2 linked regions of the Arabidopsis thaliana genome follow. The protein of the gene in region 1 interacts with the protein of each later gene in a pairwise test. Each region holds a gene or a part of one and is shown in the gene's direction. Other genes may lie near its edges. The genes, in order: AHP4 and CRF1.

Region 1 (3,931 bases):
TAAACATAATAACATTTGATTTAAATACAAAATTGGGGTTTATCATGTAAAACCAACCTCACAAGTTTTGGAATGAATTGTTTTGTTTCTTCTAATTTTGTGGTATTACATATTTGTTATTAGAGGGGAGGTCGGAATTAAGGAGAATAATCGAGATGAGACAGCAAGCAATAATAAAACTTAGATTCTAAACCCACTTCCACCGAAAATATGTAGTAGACAAGTCCTTTATGTGAGATTGGTTTGGTGGGCGGAGGAATAAATAAAGCTGATTTTTTTTTGTATATGATCAATCTCTCTCTCTTCTGTAATTCGATCTCACGATGCTTGTCTGAGAGAGAAAGAGATATAGAAAGGAACAAATTATGCTGTAATGATAAAAAGATCTTTTATGTCTTTGTGTCAATCATTTAGATCACACTTGTTATGTGCTCTTCAGTTTTTCCTTTTTAGATACTTGTTCCTTGTTTCCAATAACAGAAATTTATGGTTTATTTTTTACTCGTTGGATATATGTATACCTTATTCTCTCTCTCTCTCTTTTTGGTTTCCTACTTCTTTCTTTTTTTGTTACAATATAGAAGTAGGAAACACACGCATCCGCACAAGTACTAGCCTTTCCTTGGCACACAACACCCTCTCACCTCCACACATTAATGGAAGAAACTTGGAAAAGATTTGCATCTAATTTTTCAATGTTTGTTGCAGCGGTCAAAGAGAAAGAAAACACATCAAACAGAAAACCCCAATAGAAATCTATTTATTTCTGGTCTTGATCATGATACTAACCTTGACTATGTTTTTAATATAAAAATGTCGTTTAATGTTTATCACAAGATATAATCCTTACTTAGTAATTGAATTCCGGACCCCAAACTAAAATACTTCGAATTAGTATTGCTTTCTGTTGTTGAAACAAAAGATAAGCAATAATAGTGTTTGCTAGTGTGCTAGATTCCAACAATTTTTTCTTCCAAAAGTACAACTTTTTTTTGCCCATTTCGTAAATTCATATGTACATATATAGTTGAATGTTGTGGGTGTACGTAATTGGTACCATTAAAATCAGGAAATCACAACCTTAAAAATAACAAAAAAAAAAAGAAAAAAGAAAAGACAATGATATTATAGAAAACTTTGTGAAAACATGAATTAAATTCAGTAATTAATCAAGACGGAAATGGTCTGTTCAGAATATTTTTCTTGAACTGTATACTTTTTCAATCTATAACTTTCTTTTTCACTTTCAGGAAAATTCGTGTCCACATACATTTTACTAGTATATATTTGCCTCATTTCCAAAGGTGTGTTTCGTATAGTATCAACGTTTAGCTTTTAGGTTCTATATTCGAAATTTTACATGTTTCTATGATGTACGTATATATATAATATTAGTCGTATTCCCATTCGTGAGATCCTTTGATTACTTATTAATTAAGATGCATTTCAGTTATATTTTTGGGCAATAGATCAATCATCCACAGTAGTTTAAGTTTCATAATGGACCATACTATTAATTAAACAATCAACATTGAGGAATTCTCTAATTGAAATCTCTTATTCAAAACTTTAACATAAACACTATCTTATATATATAAAAGATTACTATACATTCAAACTTATATATCAACACACATATATGATCATTTGATAACACCTACCATTTGTGTTATACATATATTTTATAGAGAAGTTATAGAAAATTATACTGAGTATACATCTATGTGTCATCGAAATAAGCTGATAATAACGAATACACGTTTTCTTTTTATGTCTGGAGTAGAATACAGCATTCATGCCCTTACGTTGCAGGTTCCCATCATTTTACAAATATTCTCTTCTCTTTTCTACTTTCTCTTTTTTGATGTAATACGATCTATTTATTTATTCTATATTTCACTATATATATCTCAGATGTCCAACGTTTCAGTATTGCATTGCCACTCGAATTACCTAAGATAAAAACGAATTATCACTTTGATTTTTCGCACTTATAGTTAAATCTATTCTCAAAATTTAAACAAACATGCAGAGGCAAGTGGCACTCATCAAGCAGTCCCTCTTTGATCAGGTTTTGGTCGTTTGTTTCTTCGTATTTTCGTAATATAACTTCGTACGTCGTACCACTTATATATGAATTTCTTCATATAATTTAGAAAATGACTAATATAGGAAAATGCATGCAGGGATATCTCGACGAACAATTCATGGAGTTAGAAGAGCTCCAAGATGATGCAAACCCTAATTTTGTTGAAGAAGTTTCCGCATTATACTTCAAAGATTCAGCTCGGTTAATCAATAACATTGACCAAGCTTTGTGAGTATTATTTTGTTTTCTATTATATATATATTTTTTTTTTTTCAGTTTTCTAATCATTTTTACAATGCAGGGAAAGAGGATCATTTGATTTCAATCGGCTGGATAGTTACATGCATCAGTTTAAGGGAAGCAGCACGAGGTAATTTCCCCCCTTAGTTTTTGACTATTCTAATTACGCCTTCAAGAAATAATTTTACTTAAAGAAATGCGAATACTTAAATGTTTATAAGATAAAAGAATGTAACGCAAAAGTACATTAAAATTACTTCCATTCTCATTCAGGATTCAATGACAGAATCTACTTTAACCAGAAATAATTAGATTTTATGATCGTTAGTTATACTGACAAATGTTGCATTTCTTTTTTTTGTAGCATTGGGGCAAGTAAAGTGAAAGCTGAATGCACTACGTTTAGGGAATACTGCAGAGCTGGAAATGCGGAAGGGTACTTTCGTCTTTATACTTATATACCTTCATGCTTCTCGTTTTTAACAGAAAACTAAGTAACGGGGTCAAAATGAAAATAAGTATAGTTTAGATGGCTAAAATTGCTGCAATTAATCCGCTGAACCTTGAACTTTTACTTTACTTCATTTTCGACCCCCTAATTAGTTTTCTTCGCTTTTTCTTACTTGCAGATGCTTGAGGACTTTCCAGCAACTGAAGAAAGAACACTCAACGTTGAGAAAGAAGCTTGAACATTATTTCCAGGCGAGCCAATAATCAATTATGCTTAATAATTTACATAATTAGAATGTGATTAGAAGTTATCATCAATCACTTTTGATATAGTATTTGCTGAAGTGAAATTTTTTGTAATGAACAGTTGGCAAGGCAGGCGGGGCCTAAGGAGACAGCACGTAGGCCCAAGTAAGAGAGAAAGAGAGAGAGACAGAGATAAATGAGGAATCGTCGTCGAATTTTGTAGCAAAACTATATAATAAATAGTTCCTCTTTATTTTTATATATTTCGATGTACGTTATAAAGAAGGTTTTGGACTTTTATATTATGTCCGTTAATAAACGGTCCAAATGTCTCTATGTTTTTCCCCTTATATCGCCAAATTTTCCCTTGGGAGTTTTATAGCTACGATTACCTCGTAACATATGGCTTCCTCTAATAACGGAATACAGAAAAGAGTGGACCAAAAAAATGCATTTTTTCGATTCTATGATGAATGCATTACCTTGTTTACAAAAGGAAAAAAAAAAGAAACTAAGCTTTACATTATTCGGTTTGTTTCCAGGAACCGTGTCCAAATCCTAAATATTCTTACCTATTTTTATATCATTATGTTAATATTTGTCTCTACTAGTACTGATTAATAAATATTTAAAAAAGAAAAAAAAAACCAAAATATTCTTAGGTAAAAGTCTAAAATAACATTATCATTATGTTACTATTTGTCTCTACTAAAACTAATTATTAAAAAAAAAAGAATGCCATGGCTTAGATGCAAACTATTCTTAGCTAAAAGTCTAAAATAATAACATTATCATAAACAATTAATATTACACTTTTCCATCTAATTTCTCTTACATGCCCTATTTTTCAAACGATGTCGTTTAAGAATATCACATAGACCTTCTATTTCATGAAAAAACTAACTC
Region 2 (3,931 bases), on another chromosome or scaffold:
AAAATTAATCAAACTCTTACTTCCTAAGCCATTAATCCATATCGATAGCTACATCTCCCAATAACGTGAGCTAATATGTTTTAAGGCTTCGATGAAAATGTACGGTTCAACTGCAGATAAAATCTGGTGTGGTTTAAATAGTAATAAAAAAAATATATATATATATATATTAAAAAAAAGTTGTTACTACTTAAAACGCACGGTAATGTGCGGTTGAGTCATTATTCAAAACCTAAGTATACATTATTACGATTATCGTAATTTACCGCTATTAAAAAAACTTTCTCTATGATTTTGTCATAATCATAATATTACATGGACCAAGGGCACATCATTACTTATTTTGTTTTATTTTCGTGTCATGAAGAAGGCTCATCATTACCTTTAATCATATGCTATTTATTCTCACGAAGAAACTTTGAAAACCTAGTTTCTATTACTACCACTTTTATTGGACTCTCAAATGATTGGGTAGCTAACTTGTTTTCAAAAATGGGGTTTGATGTTTTATTTGATGTCTTTTTTAACATGATTTTAGGCCAAAACCTCAATTTGTCTATGTAATAACATCAAGATAACAAACTAAAACGAAGTGGTTTTTTTTTTATTATAAACTTGTCAGCCAAATTTATCCAATCGGCTAAGATAAGTAACTAAAAGTTTATATAGTCACTAGTCAGAGATACTAACCAAATTTAGGAAAAGCAATATCCACATTTTAAAATTTAAACATAAGGGACACGTGTGGATATCGGTGACTCAAGATTTTACATGAATTATTTTAGTAGAGTCGTGTGTACCCCGTGAAGGTGATGAATTACAAAGATTTCAGCTTTTGCCGCTATCAACATAGTTATAAATTGTAATATTATTTTTTGCTGTGTAAATTATTTTCTTAGTTCTTGCTTAGCATGAATAAGTATATCATCCAATGTATACAGAAGATGAGCTTTCTTACACAATACTATATAGTAAGATAAAGTTTCCAGAAGTGATAACTAAAACTTGTAACTCAACCATTAATACTCAACAAAACGCGAACTCTAAAGTTTAAATGAATTCTTACTTAGCAATATTTTTAAGCTAACTATGAATATAACATCCATACCTCAAATTAAATCAATCATAACATATATGTTACTAATCACATCCATATATTGCTTAGGCCTTAGGGTATAAGGCAAATACTTCATTCTTATAAAGCAAATTACTTTCCAGTAAAAATGAGACAAATAAATAAATGTGTATCACTATTAAGTATCATTTGTTTGTAGTAACACCGAATAATAGCGTTTATTTTCTTTTAAAAAATATCTCTCTAAATCTAGAATTAATAAAATATTATTTTACTTTCTTAGTTGTTTTGATTAAAAAAAATGAAGTGATTAGATATAAGTATATAACATCACGAATTTTTTTTTGCGGATTGTATTTTCTTGATAATTTTGATTCGGAAGTTATAATTGTGGCTTAATGAGTTTACCATTTCTTTTTTTTTTTTTTTTTTTTTTTTTTTTGAGTTTACCATTTCACTTCACATATATTACTGTGTTCTGTAATTTTGGCCAAATCAACACTTTAATATTTTGTTTGTAGAAAAACGTATCTTGAAAAAAGCCAAACACGGTCCACGTTAAAAGAACCAATATATTAAAGGCCTTTGTTTCTTCTCTGGTTTAACACTCACGTGAAAATATGCAGTGAAAAAGAGAGTTTTTCTATAAAGAGTGTTAAAAAGGACAAAAATATACTTTAATAAAATAAATTTTAATTAATATTCATGTCAAAAACAAGAGAAATTTAATCAATACTCCAAAAAAACGTTAAAAAGACACACAAGTCGAATGGAGTTAGTTTTTTTTTGACGTAACATCCTATGTTGTCGTCTCTGCCACGTCAGAAACCTGCTGTAGAAAAAGACCAGAGACTGCTAAAAAGGTAAAAAAGTAAAAAAAAAACCTGCACACCGCAACGGTCTAATTTGTTTTTACTTAGTTAGCAAATGACCAAAACACCCCTGTCGTTGAACGAAAAAGAGCGATTCTTCGTAGAAAGGTTTTAAGAATTTAATTAGATTTATTAACCACCCTTGATTACTGCTATTTATTTAAATTCTTAAGGTCAAAGGTTAGACTAAAACCGCATCCTCCAAGGTCATTAAATACAAATTTTGTTTCCCTTAATGACAAAAAAAAGGATTGTAAAACGCCGCAACCGCCGTTTCAATATCCTATAAAAGTCTCTGTTCTATTCAGAGTCACTCTCTTCACTTACATGTTTTGCTCTGCTTCTCTCTTTATCTTCTTCTTCATCTTTTGTCACTCTTTTCTTCTGCTCTAAACTTTTTCTTTTCGCTGCAAAAAAAAATTCCCAGGAATATTTCTTAAAAGAAATTTCATCCCTAAATAAGAAAAAAGCATCTCCTTCTTTAGTGTCCTCCTTCACCAAACTCTTGATTCCATAAGCATATATTAAAAAAGCTCTCTGCTTTCTTCAACTTTCCCGGGAAAATCTTCTTGTTACAAAGCATCAATCTCTTGTTTTACCAATTTTCTCTCTTTATTCCTTTTTTGCCCTTTACTTTTCCTAACTTTGGTCTTTATATATAAACACACGACACAAAGAAGAACACACATAAGTTAAAACTATTACAACAGTTTTAAAGAGAGAGATTTAAAAAATGGAGACAGAGAAGAAAGTTTCTCTCCCAAGAATCTTACGAATCTCTGTTACTGATCCTTACGCAACAGATTCGTCAAGCGACGAAGAAGAAGAAGTTGATTTTGATGCATTATCTACAAAACGACGTCGTGTTAAGAAGTACGTGAAGGAAGTGGTGCTTGATTCGGTGGTTTCTGATAAAGAGAAGCCGATGAAGAAGAAGAGAAAGAAGCGCGTTGTTACTGTTCCAGTGGTTGTTACGACGGCGACGAGGAAGTTTCGTGGAGTGAGGCAAAGACCGTGGGGAAAATGGGCGGCGGAGATTAGAGATCCGAGTAGACGTGTTAGGGTTTGGTTAGGTACTTTTGACACGGCGGAGGAAGCTGCCATTGTTTACGATAACGCAGCTATTCAGCTACGTGGTCCTAACGCAGAGCTTAACTTCCCTCCTCCTCCGGTGACGGAGAATGTTGAAGAAGCTTCGACGGAGGTGAAAGGAGTTTCGGATTTTATCATTGGCGGTGGAGAATGTCTTCGTTCGCCGGTTTCTGTTCTCGAATCTCCGTTCTCCGGCGAGTCTACTGCGGTTAAAGAGGAGTTTGTCGGTGTATCGACGGCGGAGATTGTGGTTAAAAAGGAGCCGTCTTTTAACGGTTCAGATTTCTCGGCGCCGTTGTTCTCGGACGACGACGTTTTTGGTTTCTCGACGTCGATGAGTGAAAGTTTCGGCGGCGATTTATTTGGAGATAATCTTTTTGCGGATATGAGTTTTGGATCCGGGTTTGGATTCGGGTCTGGGTCTGGATTCTCCAGCTGGCACGTTGAGGACCATTTTCAAGATATTGGGGATTTATTCGGGTCGGATCCTGTCTTAACTGTTTAAGAAATAACTGGCCGTTTAACGGCGTTTAGTGAAGTTTTGTTACCGGCGACGGCGAGGATTAAAAAAAAACGGCGATTTATTTTTTGAATGAAGATTTGTTAAATATATTAAACTTTTTTGTAACTTAATTAATGGTGATTTTATTTTTAAATAAAACTAATGGTAAATGGTGAACTTTTTGGCGTTAGCCGTTAAGTAACGTCTGTATATGAACGGCGTGGAGGCAAAACACGCACGAGTTTCTTCACGCTTTACTACTTTTCTTTCTTCTTTTGGTCTTTTGACGTATCACGTGTTGTCTCACGTGACGAGGAATCACCGAATTTGTGAAAAGCTTTGGTTAATCTTTCTTTTTATTGGGTTTATTTGACAAATAGCAATATTAGC

What was found.
Region 2: the proteins of AHP4 (region 1) and CRF1 interact in a protein complementation assay, tested with the Arabidopsis thaliana proteins (one study listed by BioGRID).

The regions. Positions count from the first base shown.
Region 1 is NC_003074.8:5,552,325-5,556,255, forward strand, and holds AHP4 (HPT phosphotransmitter 4), read left to right. Parts: upstream 1-1,872; 5' UTR 1,873-2,026; coding exon 2,027-2,071; intron 2,072-2,149; exon of another isoform or gene 2,150-2,159; coding exon of another isoform or gene 2,160-2,186; coding exon 2,187-2,317; intron 2,318-2,390; coding exon 2,391-2,459; intron 2,460-2,693; coding exon 2,694-2,765; intron 2,766-2,958; coding exon 2,959-3,031; coding exon of another isoform or gene 3,032-3,043; exon of another isoform or gene 3,044-3,069; intron 3,070-3,146; coding exon 3,147-3,194; 3' UTR 3,195-3,465; downstream 3,466-3,931. UniProt on the Arabidopsis thaliana protein: Functions as a two-component phosphorelay mediator between cytokinin sensor histidine kinases and response regulators (B-type ARRs). Plays an important role in propagating cytokinin signal transduction through the multistep His-to-Asp phosphorelay.
Region 2 is NC_003075.7:6,794,543-6,798,473, reverse strand, and holds CRF1 (cytokinin response factor 1), read left to right. Parts: upstream 1-2,075; 5' UTR 2,076-2,680; coding exon 2,681-3,544; 3' UTR 3,545-3,844; downstream 3,845-3,931.